4 linked regions of the Saccharomyces cerevisiae S288C genome follow. The gene in region 2 interacts genetically with the main gene of each other region. Each region holds a gene or a part of one and is shown on either strand. Other genes may lie near its edges.

The links.
Region 1: mutations in RAD51 (region 2) and ESA1 impair growth when combined (synthetic growth defect), as found in Saccharomyces cerevisiae (3 studies listed by BioGRID).
Region 3: mutations in RAD51 (region 2) and SLX5 together harm fitness more than expected from each alone (negative genetic interaction), as found in Saccharomyces cerevisiae (4 studies listed by BioGRID, with this or other methods).
Region 4: mutations in RAD51 (region 2) and SOD1 impair growth when combined (synthetic growth defect), as found in Saccharomyces cerevisiae (4 studies listed by BioGRID, with this or other methods).

The regions. Positions count from the first base shown.
Region 1 is NC_001147.6:789,759-795,316, forward strand, and holds ESA1 (NuA4 histone acetyltransferase complex catalytic subunit ESA1), read left to right. Parts: upstream 1-2,772; coding exon 2,773-4,110; downstream 4,111-5,558. Other genes in the region: SSP2 (Ssp2p), read right to left, coding at 1-99; pseudouridine synthase PUS7, read right to left, coding at 453-2,483; DGA1 (diacylglycerol O-acyltransferase), read right to left, coding at 4,318-5,558. UniProt on the Saccharomyces cerevisiae protein: Catalytic component of the NuA4 histone acetyltransferase (HAT), a multiprotein complex involved in epigenetic transcriptional activation of selected genes principally by acetylation of nucleosomal histones H4, H3, H2B, H2A and H2A variant H2A.Z.
Region 2 is NC_001137.3:347,583-352,781, forward strand, and holds RAD51 (recombinase RAD51), read left to right. Parts: upstream 1-2,397; coding exon 2,398-3,600; downstream 3,601-5,199. Other genes in the region: TORC2 complex subunit TSC11, read right to left, coding at 1-30; AIM11 (Aim11p), read right to left, coding at 330-619, 695-818; PUP3 (proteasome core particle subunit beta 3), read right to left, coding at 1,147-1,764; SHC1 (Shc1p), read left to right, coding at 4,116-5,199. UniProt on the Saccharomyces cerevisiae protein: Required both for recombination and for the repair of DNA damage caused by X-rays. Its function may be modulated by interaction with other repair proteins. RAD52 interacts directly with RAD51, via its C-terminus.
Region 3 is NC_001136.10:426,237-432,203, reverse strand, and holds SLX5 (SUMO-targeted ubiquitin ligase complex subunit SLX5), read right to left. Parts: upstream 3,138-5,967; coding exon 1,278-3,137; downstream 1-1,277. Other genes in the region: YDL012C (uncharacterized protein), read left to right, coding at 687-731, 818-1,096; rRNA methyltransferase NOP1, read right to left, coding at 3,857-4,840; trans-2-enoyl-CoA reductase (NADPH) TSC13, read left to right, coding at 5,270-5,967. UniProt on the Saccharomyces cerevisiae protein: Component of the SUMO-targeted ubiquitin ligase (STUbL) complex SLX5/SLX8 that mediates ubiquitination and subsequent desumoylation of sumoylated proteins and proteins containing SUMO-like domains for their degradation.
Region 4 is NC_001142.9:620,827-625,075, reverse strand, and holds SOD1 (superoxide dismutase SOD1), read left to right. Parts: upstream 1-2,061; coding exon 2,062-2,526; downstream 2,527-4,249. Other genes in the region: ECM27 (Ecm27p), read right to left, coding at 1-238; ADO1 (adenosine kinase), read right to left, coding at 473-1,495; CTP synthase URA8, read right to left, coding at 2,586-4,249. UniProt on the Saccharomyces cerevisiae protein: Destroys radicals which are normally produced within the cells and which are toxic to biological systems.

The sequences.
Region 1 (5,558 bases), on a different chromosome or scaffold from region 2:
AAAAGATGATCTTCTCGATCTCAAAGCTTTCTTCCTCAAACTTCCAGAGTCTTTATGCTTTTTATAAACTTCTGTGTTTGAATAATAGTTCTTGTACATTTGACCGGATTAAATGCTTCGTATTTTATTATTATTTTACCTTCGTTGGATTCCCGACTTCAATACGCGAGAATATATCTGTCTTTTTGTTTATAAAATATTGATAGCTACAGTATAATAATTTTCCTCTATTAGGTCCTTCTTGTTGAGAAACGTGGTTGTATCCTTTGATAAGATATATCTAGAAGGTGTTGTTTATATTTAAAAAGGCTTTATCTTTGTGTGCGATGCGCAGATACATATTTACCGACGCCTGAAGTGACACGACACGGACACAACAATAGTGTATGAGGGAAAGAGCTTCCGACAAAAAAAGTAAACTAATATACATGAATATTGCACCTCGTATAACCTTAGATATTCTCCTTAACATCACACATGTCGCCACGGCGAGAAGTCTCAAGCTTCATGAGTTCACGTAATGCCATGGTGGCATATGCGGAGGTTCCTAATTGAAATTTTAACACCACCGCAGTCTTCTCACCGCCTTTATCTGGCATATATCTGTCCAACTTGGCTTTCATATACTTCTGGCCGCTTTCTTTTGCTCTGGTGTTATTCAGGATGTCCAAATCAGTGTTCACCAATTGTTGAGAAGGATCATCATAGTGAATTATTCTATACTCTAAACTCTTTGGCTTTTGAATAACAGTTCTATAAGAGCCAGCCAATGAAAAATCGCGAACTTTTCTTCTCATATTAAATGGGTCCATATTATCTGCTTTCAATATATCCACATACAGTTGCTTCAATTCTTCGTTGGAAGGATAAAGCACATCAAAACCCGGCGATGGTAACACGACATCTTCCATGGTATACTTAACTGAGTCGATATCCTCTTGAGTTACTGCTTTTGCACGAATGAACTGAGCTTCACGGACATCTTCATCAAAGTCTTCATCGTCAATCCCAGAAATTAGTGGTGACTTTTCACTAGTATCAATGACAAGGTCACCTACAACTAACTTCAAACCATGTAGTTCTATCCGCTTACTAGCAATAGAATTCCAGACGTAACTTTGGTAGGCATGTACATACATAGTTCTCAAATTTCTGGGAATTTTCATAATAGCAGTATAATAAGCGTTCTCAGAATAAGTTCCATCTTCTTCTTTTCTTTGATTAGATAAAGAATATAGTAACGCATTTTCTGCGAGACACTGTCTTGGCATCTGCTTCAATGCTAAAGCCGCGTCCTTAGTTTCTGCCCAAATCTTCCTAGCTTCCTTAGATTTAGGAAGCACGTTATCCTGGTCAGATAAAATCAACTCAGCAGCCTTCTTCCAGTTTGAAAGGAGCAATTCTCTACCAATTGTGTGCGTAGAAATACTGAATGTACCGAATCTCTGCATACCAAAATAATTGATAAACCCATTTTCTGATAAAGACTTACAGCCGTTAGACACAATTTCTTCCAGTGATACCTCACTATTGCCGGTGGTAACATCTCTAATAACAACAACGAACTCATTTCCCTTCAAGTCTCCCAGATTCAAACTTGCATCCGAAAAATTGTAATTTCCGATAATCATTCCTTTTAAAGTCCTATTTAAAGCATTTAGTCTATCCAAACCAATCTTTGAAATCGAAACCCTTTGGCACGTTACTGCTCTACGATCCTTAGTACCTGCATATCTAATTACACGGCTTGGAACTCTTAACAACTTTGTTATAACATTGACAGCTTCCATAGTATCCTTATTTTCTTTATGTAGAGTGAAGTGAATAAAATCTTTACTGGGACCATATCCCCAATTTTCTACACCGTTAGCGTCCCTGGTTTGGTTAATTTTCTCTTGTTTATTGGTTCTTGAATTTCTATTTGATCTTGCAATCTTAAAAGTGTTAGTATCAGTAGTCACAGATTCTAATTCATTTTTAAATGCCTCACGTAACAGTTGGTGAATTTTAGTTCTAACAGATTTATCTTCGAAATTTTTTGCCGTTTCCATTTTATTAGCCGTGCGATAAACGGATTCTATTTTCAATACATCTTCCTCACCAAATATCTCCACCAATTGATTTCTTAATTCGGGGTCGACGTTGAATTCTTGTCTTCTAGCTGCTTCAGACTCCTTTTCTGCATTGACCTCTTCTTTAGAGCGTTGTGGTTTCTTTGGCATTTTAAATCCTTTATCAGTTAAGTGAATGACCTTACCTTCTTGATCTATTTCGTTGACCAAAAAGTCAGTATAACGCTGCTTAATTTGGCCTCTAAATCCTGGCAATTCTGGAGATAAGAACAAAGTAATACCGACATCTGCTTCGTGAATACCATCTGCCTGAGTACGTTGCTCAATTTTCAACTTCTTTGCAGCATTTTCGGAAGGTCCTACGTGAGCATCAAGGGGTCTCTTTACAGTGGCTTCTGAGGAGTCAGACATGGCATGCAACAGATATTGCTTTTTTCCTTGGGAAGGAACAACGTGATTATAATTAATCGATGAGCTGTACCTATTGACTATTTCATCATTATTATAATGATGGAAAATTTTCCAAATTACTACCCGCCCGTTGAAAAGATGAAAACGGCTTCCGGCGGAGCAAATGCAAAACGAATATTGCTAAAAGGTGTATATTATTATAGTAATCAAAGGAGAATAGAAAAGAGCTTTACCATTCTTTAGACGCTTCCTGTGCTACCATTCTCGGAAATACTGCAAGAAATCATCGATGTCCCATGACGGAAAAGAAGAACCTGGTATTGCCAAAAAGATAAACTCAGTAGATGATATTATTATCAAATGTCAATGCTGGGTCCAAAAAAATGATGAAGAACGATTAGCTGAAATTTTATCCATAAACACAAGAAAAGCACCACCAAAATTCTATGTTCACTATGTTAATTACAACAAGCGTTTAGATGAGTGGATTACCACTGACAGAATAAACCTGGATAAAGAAGTACTATATCCGAAACTAAAGGCTACTGATGAAGATAATAAGAAACAAAAAAAGAAGAAGGCAACAAATACTAGTGAAACGCCACAAGACTCTCTGCAAGATGGTGTAGATGGTTTCTCAAGAGAAAATACGGATGTTATGGACTTAGATAATCTAAATGTACAGGGAATAAAAGATGAGAACATATCACACGAGGATGAGATAAAAAAGCTTAGAACCTCCGGCTCTATGACACAAAATCCACATGAGGTGGCTCGAGTTAGAAATCTCAATCGAATCATTATGGGGAAATATGAAATAGAACCATGGTACTTTTCTCCATATCCTATTGAATTAACTGATGAAGATTTTATATATATCGACGATTTCACGTTGCAGTATTTTGGATCTAAGAAACAATACGAACGCTACAGGAAGAAATGTACATTAAGACATCCGCCAGGAAATGAAATCTACAGAGACGATTATGTTTCATTCTTTGAAATCGATGGTAGAAAGCAAAGGACTTGGTGTCGAAACTTGTGTTTACTTTCCAAACTTTTCCTAGATCACAAAACATTATACTATGACGTTGATCCGTTTTTGTTTTATTGCATGACGAGACGAGATGAGTTGGGTCACCATCTGGTGGGATATTTTTCCAAGGAAAAAGAATCCGCGGATGGTTACAATGTTGCATGTATCTTAACACTACCACAATACCAAAGGATGGGATATGGTAAGTTATTGATTGAATTTTCGTATGAATTGTCGAAAAAGGAAAACAAAGTTGGTTCTCCCGAGAAACCTTTGTCTGATTTGGGTCTCTTATCCTATAGAGCCTATTGGTCGGACACTCTCATAACGCTATTAGTGGAACACCAGAAGGAAATTACTATAGACGAAATAAGCTCCATGACTTCGATGACCACTACAGATATATTACACACAGCAAAGACACTGAATATCCTGCGATATTACAAGGGTCAGCATATTATTTTCCTGAATGAAGATATTTTAGATAGGTACAATCGACTTAAAGCCAAAAAGAGAAGGACAATAGACCCTAATAGACTCATATGGAAACCACCGGTATTTACTGCCTCTCAGTTACGCTTTGCCTGGTAAGCTATGTAGTGCTTTCCTAAACTTACATTCAAACAACTTCTAATGTAAAAGCTTTAAATAAATGAAATTTACGTAAAACAATCACTAATATTCAACGAGAACTCCAGTATTCCTGTAAGTTAATACTCTTACTTAAGATATACAGCCCAAACACTAAAAAATCCTTATTTATTCTAACATATTTTGTGTTTTCCAATGAATTCATTATTACCCAACTATCTTCAATTCTGCATCCGGTACCCCATATTTTTCTCTATTTTCGTAATATAGTCTTTTCAACTCCGCAATATACAAATCATGGAAATGATTAACAACATCATCTGGCGGATTTGTTATTTTCTTTTCAACGTATATAGGCCTTCCAACAACAACATTGATAGGCGCTCTAAATGGCAACAAACCGAAATCGTAATTGAATAATCCTCTTGCGTAGAAAATGGGAATGGTAAAACCAAAGTTTTCTTTGAACCATAGTTGCATTTTACCCAGGACTGAATCTTTTTTTGTGCTCAGAACATTATAACAGTCCACCTCTCCAAATGCAAACACAGGCACTAGGTTAATATTCCCCGTTTGAATGGCCAGTTTAATAAAACCCTTTCTTTTGTTTAAAATCAGTTGTGTACCATTTGTTGAACTTAATAAAGATTCCCTAGCGCCACCAACAACAATGCAGATCGACTGATTTTTGCTTAGAGTCCTTAAAGCGTTTTTCCGAGATACTGAAGAAATACCTAACGCCAATAAGTAGTCTCTATACAATGGGATATGAAATTGTGTGACCAGTGTCATCAGAGAAATAGGAATACCTGGGAAAATCTTGGAATAGTTACAACCTTCTGTTGCAAACGCTCCAAACGCACCAAGTGCTCCTATGCCGTGTGGATGGTAACCAAATAAGTACGTTGGCCCTGTACATTCCTGGTTGCGATAGTCAATAGTAGAGTTGCTTTTGAGATTAATGGAATACTTAGTTGGCCACAATCTAATCTTGTAATTTTTTTCGTTAACTCTCTTATTTTTTGAAAGCGTAAAAGTTGGTTTTAAATTGACAGTTTTAATCAAACTTATAGGGAAATAATCACAATACCACTTCCAAATGGGCAATGAACGAAATCGAAGAGAGTATCGATTTACCACTTCGCCAGTTGCAGGAGACCTATCGAAAAAAAAATAAATCATATATGGAATAGCAAGAACCCACAGTGCTGGTGTCGAGATTGCAAATAACGTAAATATGGAGAAGAGTACAAATGAAGAAGTGTGCCATGCTACAGCCAGAGTTTGTAACCTTCTTTCAAAAGGGGTCGCCAATGGACAGCATGACTCTAGTTGTGGTTTGAGAGTCTGTTCTCTTTTATCGATGCTTGACAAAGACTTATTCTCATGCCTTTCGGTAATACCGGCTGTAGGGCTTCCTTCTTCCTTCTTCCTTCTTCTTATATCAT
Region 2 (5,199 bases):
ACTCTGTTTTGCACTGTGAGGTATGCTCATTGTGAATTTCAAAAACTTAATAGAAGCGGTACAGCACGAAGCAACCTCCCTAGCGTGTACACCTACAAATTGAAGGTACCTTAGTTATATCCGAGAACAATAGAACTGCTTGATATTCCATCTTCCATTTCGCCGATGGATCAATCAATTTTTAAGAGAATGCAAAAAAGAAAAAGATTACAATATGTATAATTAAAAGAAGAAAGAATGTATACGGATATACGATATGTGACCAGCCGGCAACGGCTCGTAGTTATACCATTATTTACAGTTTAAAGAGATTAAGCCAATGCGTAGTGCTACTTGTTGTTTTCGCTCGACAGGAGGTCTTGCAATTGCTTAGTTAGTTTGGAAGTTTCTTCGTCCATGCTCGTGTCGGTTTCTAAGGCTTGTGGAAGGCTCATGAACTCTCTAGTCTTAAATACAAACTCTCTTGCCGTTGAAATGTCAAGTGCCCAACAAAAGCCGAATATCAATGTGCTGAACGTACCTATTGAAGCGGCGGATGCATACGTTAACGCTGACATGGCTTCATTCCTTTGGGAAAAAGGTGGAAGCTTGTAATTTTGTTGAAATATGCTGGGGACGTCTGCTTTCAGTAGACGGTGTTAGTAACTATATCCTATTATTAGTTTTGGCCACTGAACTAGGACAAAATACATACATTTTCGTACTTTTATGGCCCTGGAGATAAGCCTCATGGTAATCAGGGTGAAGGCGGCCGCACCATAAAATCTGGCCATTTGAAGAACCCTGCGTTTCTTAAGTTCCTTCTTCTCTTCGATCATAGTTTCGTTTCTTGATGAAGTAGGATAGTCGTACTAATTGCTGACAAACCCGTCAAAGAATCAAGTTCCCCATCCTAATAAGTATTAAAAGCGCCAATTTTTCAAGAGACTCGCGGCTGGTGAATAACGCTGCTCCTTAGAAAAGGACAGCCAGCGGATAGCTACTCAGATCTTCGACTGACTTTATGCATTTTAGTATTTATATATTCATTCGATCTATTCTGTTTACTTAAAAATTAAAGATGAGTTGGATGTGGAAAATTCTTGACGTTCCGCTGATATTTTGTGTTGGGGTTGTTTTTGGGACCATGAGATTGCCATGAACCGATCAATCTTGTCTCATCTTCAAGTATCTCTTCACCACTTCATCCTTCTTGATGATGTATACTACAGCTCCCCAGCCTGATAGAGCGTCACGGTCAGCAGCATTCAGTAGGGCCTGACTTATAGTTTCGAAAAGATCTTCTGGCTCTAGATTAGGTTCGTACAGGGACTCACACATACCGAACAGTTGGTCGGATGCAGTACCGCTAACGATAAAATCCTTGGCCTCGTCGATACAGCCGATTAGGTCGAATCCCGCAATAAAGGGCTTCCCGGACTTGGAATTAATACCTGCTACCACCGGCCCCACAAAGTATGGACCGAATCTTCTTTCATAAAGTGAACTTGACACTAATTGGGTAAACGTTTCAGGCTCAATGGCCCTTTCTTCCTTCAACTTATATAGGTTCGTCTTGTAGCGGAACATCTCGTTCAGAGTAGTCACGTCGGTAGCCAGACCGGTAATCCCTAAGAACACATGCCCATAGTGGAAGATTTTTTCAAACTTGTTCGACACACCTAGTGACTGGCTTCCGAGACGCAAATCACAGGCAATGGCCACACAGTCTTTACCTGTCATCGCAACGACGATACCACCGTTAATAGAACTTGGATCCGACATTTTTTTTTTATGCTTTATTCACTGTTCAATATTTTCACCACAATTCGCAAGAAACGCACTCTACTTCGAAACTACGGTTCAAACTTACTTAGCAGCTTCCCGATTTAATTGGCCTTTCTACTATGCCATAAACTCTTTCTTCCTCTCTTTTCATCGCCCCTGCATTTGCACTTTTTTGCCACCGGCAGTGCCATCCGGTCACATGACTACACCACGTTAATAGCGATCTGGCTTATCATTGTCACAGAGTAAATTAAAATGGACGGTAAATGTTGGAAATGCACCACTACCGTTCTTCAACCAATCTAGTTTAGCTATCCTGCAACAGGTGGCCTTCTTGAGCATTCCCTGAGCATTCCAACCGGTTGTATCAGTGTTTTATCACCGTCTCACCATATCCCACGACTAGGCCACACTTCGTTACCCTATGCTACGCGTCATTTCCGCTATTTCTGTCCTGGTTTGTTTACAGTACGCGTGGTGGGACCATAAAGGGGAATAGTGGGGACTGGAGAAAAAATTTTCTCAGTTACTTCTTCTATCTTCCGTAGTTTCCATATACTAGTAGTTGAGTGTAGCGACAAAGAGCAGACGTAGTTATTTGTTAAAGGCCTACTAATTTGTTATCGTCATATGTCTCAAGTTCAAGAACAACATATATCAGAGTCACAGCTTCAGTACGGGAACGGTTCGTTGATGTCCACTGTACCAGCAGACCTTTCACAGTCAGTCGTTGATGGAAACGGCAACGGTAGCAGCGAAGATATTGAGGCCACCAACGGCTCCGGCGATGGTGGCGGATTGCAGGAGCAAGCGGAAGCGCAAGGTGAAATGGAGGATGAAGCATACGATGAAGCTGCCTTAGGTTCGTTTGTGCCAATAGAAAAACTGCAAGTGAACGGGATTACTATGGCGGATGTGAAAAAACTAAGGGAGAGTGGGCTTCACACTGCTGAAGCGGTAGCATATGCTCCCAGAAAGGATTTATTGGAAATCAAAGGTATATCGGAAGCTAAGGCAGATAAGTTGCTAAACGAAGCGGCAAGGCTAGTGCCTATGGGATTTGTCACGGCTGCTGATTTTCATATGAGAAGATCGGAGCTGATTTGTTTGACAACGGGTTCTAAGAATTTGGACACTCTTTTGGGTGGTGGTGTGGAAACTGGTTCTATTACTGAGCTTTTCGGTGAATTCAGGACAGGTAAGTCCCAGCTATGTCACACTTTGGCCGTGACATGCCAAATTCCATTGGATATTGGTGGCGGTGAAGGTAAGTGTTTGTATATCGATACCGAAGGTACTTTCAGGCCGGTAAGATTGGTATCCATAGCTCAGCGGTTCGGATTAGACCCGGATGATGCTTTGAACAACGTTGCGTATGCAAGAGCCTATAACGCCGATCATCAGTTAAGACTTCTGGATGCTGCTGCCCAAATGATGAGCGAGTCTCGGTTTTCCTTGATTGTGGTCGATTCTGTTATGGCTCTATACCGTACGGATTTTTCTGGTCGTGGTGAACTAAGCGCAAGGCAAATGCATTTAGCCAAATTTATGCGTGCTTTGCAAAGGCTGGCCGACCAATTTGGTGTTGCAGTCGTCGTTACTAACCAAGTGGTCGCCCAAGTTGATGGTGGTATGGCTTTTAATCCAGATCCAAAGAAGCCTATCGGTGGTAATATTATGGCACATTCTTCCACCACGCGATTAGGTTTCAAAAAGGGTAAGGGATGTCAAAGATTATGCAAAGTTGTTGACTCACCTTGCTTACCAGAGGCTGAATGTGTGTTCGCGATCTATGAAGATGGTGTTGGTGACCCCAGAGAAGAAGACGAGTAGGTATTTGGTCTCTTGTCTCTATTTATTTACACAGGTTTACTTTCAATTCTCCTCTTTTTCTTAGGTTGCGTTCCGTACATTTTTATCTTCATTTCCATCCACTGTCTTAGATTTTTGCATATATTTTGTCATATACCTCGCAACCCTACTGCGGTCTTAACCTTTTTTTTCAGTTCTTTTAAATAACTTTCGTATTGTCTGTCACCCATGAAATATATGTATTTTTCTACTCTTCTTCCCGATGACTACTTCCTCCTGCAGGGTCCGCGCGGCTTTATCCTTTTAGGGGAGTGAAGAGAAAAATTTTCTGATATGTCGCCATCCTCTTATAAAACCAACGTAAAATACCATACACTTCTTTATGGCAATGAATTTCCTTGTCTTCGTTTCGACGTTTTTAAATTGAATAAAAAATTGTACTTGGAAAAAAGAATAGAACAATACTTTTGCTAACAGCAAGAGAAGTACGGTTGACATTACGAGTATCCCTTTGTTAAAATCAGGCAGTACCCATAATGTCCATGACTATTTGCTCAAATACTCCTGGTGCATACCCTGAAATTGGAGCTTATAATGAGGTTGATAAACAGTTGGAATCAAGCGGATTCTCCTCTGATTCCTCTCTGATATTGAATAAACCAGAAGTTCGTCAATACTGGTCATCCGTTTCATCTCATATTTCACGCTCAGGTGATGTGTTTACAAATGATAAAGAAAAAATTTCATCCTCTATTGGTGAGGATGCGATGGATATCGACGCTTCGCCCTCATTGATTGAAAAATATAACTCTTTTCCCACAAGAAAGATTCTTCCTGAGCAGGACGAGTTTGAGAACGACGTTGAGGACGATGCTTCTTCCTCACTGAAGGAAAAATCACAAGGTTCTTGTGAAATTGAAATTGCTTCTGAAATTTCATCCGAAATTTTAAATGGCACATCGGCAGACGGTAATTCCGAGTTTCACGACTTCGCTGAGCCCCCTCCCTCTCAGAATGAATCTGTCGCTCTGTCTTTTAGTCAATCGAATGATTTGGACTTTTTGAATAATCCAAGCGGATCAGGCTCTTCAAACGATATCAATAGAAGTACAAGTTCCATTTCACTTCCTAGACATGTGTCACTAGATTTTAACGTTTACAATAGTCTTTGCCTCACAAATGAGGTGACTGCATCAGAATCACATAATGTGGCCAAATTTCACCTTGGCAAGAAAAACAAGAAGAGCTTGCTACCAAGATGGAAAACCATTGAAATGTACGGGGAGGTAGTTAAGAAAACTCAAGACATATATTCTAATTTTCAGTATGCACAATACATTTTAAGGGTAGGGTTGGATACCGAAAAACTACACGAACTTGTTAAGGAACTGGAGGATGAAAGCAATAGCTTCTCTGTAGATTCTTTAAAGGAATATTTAGTGAACGATGCCAAAGTTATTTTGAAGAAACTAAGTGCCGTTGGATACCCTGATGCACAGTACCTTCTAGGTGACGCCTACTCCTCTGGAGTTTTCGGTAAAATAAAGAATAGAAGAGCATTTCTTTTATTCTCCGCTGCAGCCAAAAGAATGCACATCGAAAGTGTTTACAGAACTGCCA
Region 3 (5,967 bases), on a different chromosome or scaffold from region 2:
TTTCGCGAACGCTCCGCCTCAGGCGCCCCGGGACGCGTCATGCGCGTTCCAGAAAGTTAACTAACTGCTAGTGCATTCAATTTCTCAAGGCGTAGTATTTGGGATCTATAAAGCCTTCGACATTAAGCACTATGCTTAAAAGCGAACAGCCTGCGCCACTACTTAAGAGCGAATCTTGTGTGGAGGGATGACTAGGTCCAAAGAGGGAGAAAAGGATCTTGCGGAAAAGTCAACAACACTAATCGGTAGCTGAGTCTGTCAGTGCATCCTTACTGGCTTACTATTTTCATTCATGCTGCAAGTAGATTATCCTCTAGTTAAATTAAACGCGGATGAACTACGCCATTAAATCCATCATAAGAAACTAATTACTACTTTTAGGAAATTAGCCAACTAAAAACTGCTGAAACGCCACATTTCACATAAAACCCCACGGAGCAGTAATGGGAGATCTTAAGCTCAGCCCAGTACATATGTCCATCAGCCTTGAATAGCCACGGTGAGTTCTCGAAGCTTCCTTCCACCTAGTCCAGAATATTTCTTGGTAAATGGCTCGAAGTTTTCGTATTAAACGATGCTATCAGCGGCATCGTGAAATATTGAAATATAAAAAGTATTTACGCAACCGAAAAGGATATTAAGACAAACCCATACAATAGCCCATAAACCAAGCAAATACACATCTCATGTCAGCTCAAGATTATTACGGAAACTCTGCCTCCAAACAAAGCGTACGTTAATTTTACAAGTTTTGCCTTTAGAAGATCACATCGTACTAACGAGCCCTTGTATTTTCATTACATCACTTTCGATTCAGTATTCTCGTCCTAGCGCTCCACCACCAGGATATGAAACGGCGTCTAGAGGTTACGCTCCATCGCAAAGCCAACAGAACTATTATCCACCTCAACAGCAGCAGCAGCAGTATCAGCAACAACCTCAATACTATCAGCAACAGCAGCCCCAATATTACCAACAACACCCACAGCAGCCCATTTATGTCCAACAACAACCGGCCAGTTCTGGAAATGAAGACTGTCTAGCGGGCTGTCTAGCGGGTTTATGTTTATGCTGTACTTTGGATATGCTGTTTTAGAGTATCTCCATATCTTGTGGGAGCAAACCCTTTCACACAAATCCACTATATAAAACAAAGCACAATTGCACCTCTGATCTTTTAATCTTAATTAAATAAGCGTGATTAAAGTGTTCATGCAAGTAGATAATATATAATGATGATAAGTTCGAAAATGCCCTTATAAAAATTAAACCGCGTGCTAGAAGTAAACCTCCTTCAACCTGCCTCTTGAACGAATAAGCTTCTTACAAGAATCTGCGGGACATAATTTGGGGCCATAATTATCCGGATGAGCCGAACCCTTTAGTTGAGCTAGTTTCTTTTTGGGCATCTTAGATTTTTTTTTTGCATTGTCAATCCTGGCGAAACACCTACCACAAAATGCATGACCACACGATGCAATAAACGTTCGTTTTGATAAATCTCTATCAAGCATTGATGGTCTGGCTAGGGTTTGGTAGGGGCAGTGGAATTTGTATTTTGACACTAACCCTTCAAATGAAACACCACGATCCTTTTGACTGATTCCAGTAAAATCATCCGGTATTCCGACCCCCAATTCTGCGCCACACAAGCAACAAACAGGAATATCCTCGAGTGTTTTTGCTAAATCGTCATCTGTCACAATGATGGTTTCTTCTTTACCATTTTTCGTAATGTCTAATTTCATTTTTGGCGTAGTATCAAATGACGCGCTATAACCTTCGGGTAGGCTGGCTGCCCTAGCTTCGAATTCTTCCTGTTGGGCTCTGGTTTTGTTCATTAGATTCTTCATGACCACATCCCGCTCTCGTTCTTCTCTCTCTTGGATCATATCAATGATATTTTGAGTGTGTCGTTCCTCGTCAGCATCGCTCAATGCTGGGCCACTCCACAAACGACTTAAGAACCCATCCTCTCCATTGAAATTAAGATAGTTTGTGATTGATTCACGTAATGTGCCACGATGGAAAACTCTTCCTGCCGTTCTTTCTTGTCTTTCCAATGCTTCTCGGTGAAGTCTCAAGGCCTCTTCCTGAGTATTTCTGACCCTATCAATGGCCCAATTCTGCAGCAGTTGATTTCTGAACTCAGTGAAGAGTGCCATTAGTTCTTCTTCACATTCTTGCAAAGTAATTGGAGCAACATTTTGTAAAATAGACCTGAATTCATGCAGTGACTCTGCACGATGAAAAGCACTACGAATATCAGGCGTATATGATTGTATTCGTTCCCTGATTGATTGTAACCTAATAGATGTACTTATATTTTCGTCACTGGACACCCTTTGCTGTTGTACCCTACGTTGTCTTTCTGCAATCCGTCTGCTCATTCGCATACGGCTCTCCCTACGAGCCCTTTGAATAGCTTCTGGTAAATTATGGGTATCATCTGTCCAATCTTCATCGTTTTCATCAGACCGGTCCACAAATAAATTACGGGCTCTTGTAGCACTCCTTCTCAGTAACTGCCTGCGTGATGCGCCTAGATCTTCTTGGAATTCAAATGACCTTCTTATCGGTATGTCTGTTGTCGTCGCAGTTACCTCAAGCCTCTCCCCGCCTGGCAGGTTCAGTGTCACTCTGGGTCGTGTTGTTCTCTCTTCAACTATTGTCAGGCCATCATCACTTTCATTGTTATTACCATTATCATTCAAGTACCCGTTTGTGTTATCTACTTGTATTGTTCTTGGAGTTTCTAACGTTTCAGAACCTGGCTCCTGATCAAGATCGACGTAATGTGCAGAAGGATCAATAGGTCCATCGTCTCCAAAAAACCGTCCAACTTCTCGTATTATAGTGATATCGTCGTTATTAGCTTGAAAATCAGGGCGCTCAGAGCTTGCTGTTATGTGAGTCCGTTGAGAATTCCTGCTCCTTGAATCTGACCTCACAAACCTATTTAAAGCATCACGTCGTCTCCCTACCCGTCTGTCTGGGTACAACCTCACAGGAAGGTTAGCCTCGCGAATAGAAGCGTCTTCTTCCTTATCACTATCTATTAATATAACTGTCTCATTTGGATTATTGTCTGATGGGCTATTATTGCTCTTTGTTCGACCGTTAGTATCGCTATGCATTCTATTATTTCGACTATTAGAGGAGCTCCGCGTTCCAAATAATAATTTTTGGACTGAAATCTTTTCAAAAGTTCACTCCTAGACTGAAGCTCCTAGTGCAAATTTCGACTTGGTTATTACCAATCAACGCAACACACGCTCTTCTTAATGATTAAGTCTTCGTTTTGGTCGCACACTGCCTCTCATCCATGTTAAATAGTAAATATTGCGACCTTGCGTATACAGTGATGTTTCTTATGGGCAAAGCCAAAAAAAAAAAAATACGTAAGAGTGACAGATGAAGAAGTGACACTTTGAACAAAAGACTCTATCAAAATTTTTTCAGATTCAATCCAAGGATAAAGAGAAATCTATGATGTAGTGTTACAAGAATTAATGATATATGGTCATCAAACAGTGTCGAGACTGGAGAACAGCTTATCGATATTGTTCCTACCTTTAAAAAACTCGAAATATGATTATGATTTCTACTTGCTTGCTCTTAACAATTAATGACCAAAAAGTCACCACATATACTCTTTTTTTTTTATATGGCGAATACGTACAATACTTTTGTTCTCTAAAAGAATTTAGTAATATCTATTTTACAAAGTCGAGGGTTACAAAAACTTCAAATAGGAAGTGAAACTGAATGGGGGAAATATATATAAACGAAACAATTATTCTGCTAATAATTGAGCAAGCTACCAGAAACTTTTGACTAATTTCCTTTATTCAACTTATTTCTTCAAACCGCTTCTCATGTATCTACCAACGACGATACAATGGTCTCTTTCATATGGCTCTAAAGTCAATTGTTCTAATGGCTTAATACGTTCCTCACGTAACTTTTGAACTTCTCTAGCAAAAACGGTTTCCGCGTCTACAGTAGAATCAATACAGTTAGCCTTAATGGAGATAACAACACCACCTTGGTCCTTCAAGAACATATGAGAGTTCAATGCAATAATACGAGCTTGATCAGGCTGGGCAACATCTGCGAAGACACAGTCAACCATACCAATCAACATTCTGTATTTTTGTGGGTGTCTAGCATCTTCAATGATTGGGATGATATTAGGTCTCTTCTTTGCCATAGAAATCAATTCTCTGCCTGGTCTGTGAGAAAATTCTACGGCGTAGACAACACCTTCTGGACCAACAACATCTGAAACGTGAGAAACAGAAGTACCGGAAGCAGCACCTAAATATAAAACTTTCTTGCCTGGGGCAATAAATAATTCATCTAGACCACCCATAATACCGGCAGCCAACTTAGATCTGAATGGGTTCCATACACGGTATTCGACCTTGGTTGGTGGGACACCATCTTCCTTAGATGGTTCTTCAACGGAGATTCTCTTTTCACCATAAACTGATTCACCTGGGGCCATGTTCTTGGTAACTAGCAAATCTTCTTTACCTCTAGCAATGTAAACACCGGCATGTCTATGTGGTTCAATAACGACCTTGGCACCACCACGGGCACCACCAGCAGCGCCACCTCTACCACCTCTGGAGCCACCACGGGCACCACCACGAGAACCGCCTCTACCACCGAAGCCGCCTCTGGAACCACCACGGGCACCACCACGAGAACCGCCTCTACCACCGAAGCCACCTCTGGAACCACCGCGAGCACCACCACGGGAACCGCCTCTACCACCGAAGCCACCTCTGGAACCTCCACGGGAACCACCTCTGCTACCTGGTCTGAATGACATTACTGTTTTAGTTGATTTGAGTTAATTTGATCGGAGTTATTGAAAGCAATGGGCAACTTAGATTTATCCGATGAATGATATCTAATTGTTTCTCGAAGAATAACTTATATAACAGTAGTATACCGATGTAAGGAAAACTTCTTGGCTATGTAAAACTTTTTGAAAGTTAGAGGAAGAAAGTATTATACATTCAAGAGAGATGAGCTTTCCAATTTGAAAAATTTTTCAAGAAAAAGAAAAAATTTGAAAAAAAAAAAAGAAAAATATAATAAACATATCATTTTGTACGCAAAAAGTTAAGGAATTATGAAAAGGGACTAAGAGCGTGAATTTTACAGAACGGAGGACAGTAAGATTATATTCTATTTAGCTATCTAGAAACCAATTGAGCTATTTGAGAGAGATACATATTTTGAATTTAATTTGAAAATGCCTATCACCATAAAAAGCCGCTCTAAAGGGTTAAGGGACACTGAAATTGACTTATCCAAAAAGCCTACTTTAGATGATGTTTTGAAAAAAATCTCTGCTAATAACCACAATATCAGCAAGTACAGGATAAGATTAACCTACAAAAAGGAATCTAAACAAGTTCCGGTTATTTCAGAATCGTTTTTTCAAGAAGAGGCTGATGACTCAATGGAATTCTTCATCAAAGATTTGGGTCCCCAAATTTCATGGAGATTAGTCTTCTTTTGTGAGTATTTGGGTCCAGTCTTGGTTCACTCCCTTTTTTATTATCTATCTACCATTCCCACAGTTGTTGATAGATGGCACAGTGCTAGCTCCGACTATAATCCATTTTTAAACAGGGTTGCATATTTTTTAATTTTAGGACATTATGGAAAGAGATTATTTGAAACCTTATTTGTTCACCAATTCTCTTTAGCTACTATGCCAATTTTCAACCTGTTCAAAAATTGTTTCCATTACTGGGTTCTAAGCGGTCTCATTTCATTCGGTTACTTTGGCTACGGCTTCCCCTTTGGGAATGCTAAGTTATTCAAATACTATTCATATTTGAAATTGGATGACTTGAGTACATTAATTGGTCTTTTCGTGCTTTCAGAACTATGGAACTTTTATTGCCACATTAAATTGCGCCTATGGGGTGACTATCAAAAGAA
Region 4 (4,249 bases), on a different chromosome or scaffold from region 2:
TTAATGCCCCAGTATGAGATGCATGGGACGCCGTTTTTGAGACTAAAGAACCATTCGATCGAAGGCTGTTGGGATCTGATATATGGGCCACGTTGGGGCAAAGAAAATCGGATGCACATATTCCTAATAACACGAAAGCAATAATGATATGAAATAAGCTCGGCACAATAAACGTTACTGAAAGTTTAGGATCCTTGTAAAGTAATCGTGGATGGGCGACATTGATTGCCCAGTCCATATTATTGTGTTATTGTTGCTTGTGTACGGCCGTATGTGGAGAGGATGAACGAGTATTTTGTTCTTAGCGCTGCTTGTCCTTTTTTCTTGAAGCTGTACTTTATAGCGCCTCTTTTCCTTATTGTGGTAACGGTGGCTTATTTGGTTTAAGAACAAGCGGTAAACATGTCTACGAATGAAAAGCTAGAGGGAACACGTAGAGTATATTTTATTTCTATTATATTGTAAGAAGAATCTATTTAGAGTAAGATATTTTTTCGGAAGGGTAAGAGGGACCAACTTCTTGAATAGACAAAGCAGCTAGCCATTGACCCATGTCAATAGAGGTTTCCAAATCTTCACCTTTAGTCAACCCAGCCATAAAGCCACCAGCGAAGGCGTCACCAGCACCGTTGGTGTCGACGATCTTAGAAGAGTCCAAAGGTTTGACTGGATATGTGCTGGTACCCTTGGAGGACACGACCACTGTTGGTTCGACACCGTGGGTGAAGATGACAGTCTTTTCAACTGGAGAGTCCTTGACAATTCTTTGAGCAATAGCTTCCAAATCAGTGTTGGCACAGTCTAATTGGAAGGCGTCGCAAAAGGCTTCGGCCTCCGATTCGTTAGCGATGATGACGGTAGCATAAGGCAAAACTCTGGCCAATGCGTCTTTGAAGACATGAGGAATGAAAGGAGCACTAAAGTTCAACACGAAAGGTTTGCTGTTCTCTTTAGCATGTTGGCCCAACTTAACGATAGCGTCTGGAGACACGGTCAAGTGGAAACCACCGATGTAGAAGAGCTTAGCTGCTTCGACCAAGTCCCAATGCTTGTCCAAGTGGTCTGGAGTAAAGAAATTGGCAGCACCCAAGTCAGTGACCAAGGACCGGTTATGGCCAGTGATTAATGCGGCACACTTACCGGTACCAATATCATTTTGAACTTGGTACATAGACTTGACACCAGCTTTTTCGTTTTCGTTAAGCAATCTCTCGCTGAACTTGTCCTTACCGACGGAACCGAAGTACACCACCTGGCCGGCGCCCAAAACGTATGCTGCCCCTCTAGCAGTGTTTTGAGCAGCACCACCTGCAACAAGCTTTGTTTCTGGCATCTGTAAGAGCTCGTCAAAAATAGCCATCTTAGCATCGCCTGATTTGGCATCGACCAAAATTGCGTCGTTTTCCTTTAGAGAATACTTGGCCAGGTATTCAGCCGTGACGTCGGCTTGGAAATCTAAAAGTGGGTTACCCAATACTACCAATGGTGCGGTCATAATTGCTTGCTCTTTCTTTTGCTGTTATCTTTGGTTCTACCCTGCACAAGATAAACTGAGATGACTACCTAATTAGACATGGCATGCCTATAAGTAAAGAGAATTGGGCTCGAAGAATAATTTTCAAGCCTGCCCTCATCACGTACGACGACACTGCGACTCATCCATGTGAAAATTATCGGCATCTGCAAAAAAAGTTTCAACTTCCACAGGTAATATTGGCATGATGCGAAATTGGACGTAAGTATCTCTGAAGTGCAGCCGATTGGGCGTGCGACTCACCCACTCAGGACATGATCTCAGTAGCGGGTTCGATAAGGCGATGACAGCGCAAATGCCGCTTACTGGAAGTACAGAACCCGCTCCCTTAGGGGCACCCACCCCAGCACGCCGGGGGGTTAAACCGGTGTGTCGGAATTAGTAAGCGGACATCCCTTCCGCTGGGCTCGCCATCGCAGATATATATATAAGAAGATGGTTTTGGGCAAATGTTTAGCTGTAACTATGTTGCGGAAAAACAGGCAAGAAAGCAATCGCGCAAACAAATAAAACATAATTAATTTATAATGGTTCAAGCAGTCGCAGTGTTAAAGGGTGATGCCGGTGTCTCTGGTGTTGTCAAGTTCGAACAGGCTTCCGAATCCGAGCCAACCACTGTCTCTTACGAGATCGCTGGTAACAGTCCTAACGCAGAACGTGGGTTCCACATTCATGAGTTTGGAGATGCCACCAATGGTTGTGTCTCTGCTGGTCCTCACTTCAATCCTTTCAAGAAGACACATGGTGCTCCAACTGACGAAGTCAGACATGTCGGTGACATGGGTAACGTAAAGACGGACGAAAATGGTGTGGCCAAGGGCTCCTTCAAGGACTCTTTGATCAAGCTTATCGGTCCTACCTCCGTTGTAGGCAGAAGCGTCGTTATCCACGCCGGCCAAGATGACTTAGGTAAGGGTGACACTGAAGAATCTTTGAAGACTGGTAATGCCGGTCCAAGACCAGCCTGTGGTGTCATTGGTCTAACCAACTAATGTTAATGATAATATACTTGAATAAAAACCGTATGTAAGTAAGTAGTAAGCGCATCAATTCATTCATTTTCATTTCCCTCGCTTAGATTTATGTCCTTGATCACTTCACCAAGTGTGCCGGAGGCTGCGGCCACAAGCCCCCAAAACGGTCTTGATGGTTCCAGCACCTTCGATGTATACTCTGGATGGTATTGAGTGCCCACGTAGTATGGATGGCCTTTCAATTCGAATATTTCGCAACGCTGGCCCGTCTCGTCCTTACCAACAAAAATAAAGCCACGAGACTCCATATCATTCACTATTTTCGGGTTTATCTCATAGCGATGACGATGTCTCTCATGCACCTCATTAACTTCACCATAAAGCTTCCTTATGTTGCTCCATTCTGAGTTCGGTTGGAAAATGGTAGGCCTCAAACCCAATCTCATCGTGCCACCCATGTGTTCCTTGTCGATCTCGGGCATGTATATGACTACTTGGTCTTCAGGAGCTAGTAGTGTCTCGTCCAAAAATTCTGTAGAACTGCTGTTTGGGCGGCCTATCACATTGCGGGCGAACTCGATAGCGGCAACTTGTAATCCAAGACAGACACCAAGAAAGGGAACACCGGATTCACGGGCCCATTTGGCAGCAAGAATCATACCTTCAATACCTCTCGTGCCAAATCCACCAGGAACCAAAATTCCGTCGGCGGAACTGAGCTTATTCCATGAATCGTGGAACTTGTTCTTGTCCACCTCTTGAGTTTCGGGCTCTAGGTTACTTGCCTCTACCCAGAGGATTTCTAGCTGACGACGGCACTTCATGCTTGCGTGTTCTAAGGATTTGGTCACAGATAGGTAGGAATCCTTCAAATTAGTGTATTTTCCCACAAGAGCAATCTTGACAACATCATCAGAATCATCTAGGTTTTTGGTCATGTTTTCCCAGTTAGTCAATAATTGAGACCCTCTTTCCTTGTCTTCCAAGGTTAGAGGCACTTCACCTAATTTCAACCTTGAATGGAGGTAGTCGATCATATGTTGCTTTAGCAGCAATAAGGGAACGTGGTACGTGGAGTTAACATCATGAACGTTGACCACTTGCTCCGGCCCCACATGGCAAAACATGGCAATCTTGTCAATAGTGCTCCTGTTAAGTTCTTCGCTGCATCTGCAGGCAATCATATCGGGAATAAGCCCTAATGACCTTAAATCTTTGATTGCTGCTTGGGTGGGTTTCGTCTTCTGTTCACCATGAATGACGGGCACAAGTGAAACATGGATCAGGGCGAAATTCTCTCTTCCAACTTCGAACTGAAATTGTCGTAATGCTTCCACGAAGGGCGCACTCTCAATGTCACCGACCGTACCACCTAACTCGATGATACAGACGTCTGGTTCTAATCCTGTGTCATCCACTGGAATTTTTGAAACACGTTGAATCCAATCCTGAATTGCGTTAGTCAAATGAGGAACAATTTGAACTGTCTTACCTAAATAATCACCTCTCCTTTCTCTGGAAATTACGTGGGAGTATATCTTACCGGTGGTGATGTTGTGGTCCCTGCTTAAGGTAATACCGAGGTACCGCTCGTAATTACCGAGATCCAAGTCCGTTTCCCCACCATCATCAAGTACAAAACACTCACCATGTTCCAAGGGAGACATCGTCCCGGCGTCAATATTCATATATGGGTCAATCTTGATGGAAGTAACCTTTAGGCCGAGGGTTTTCAGTAGCA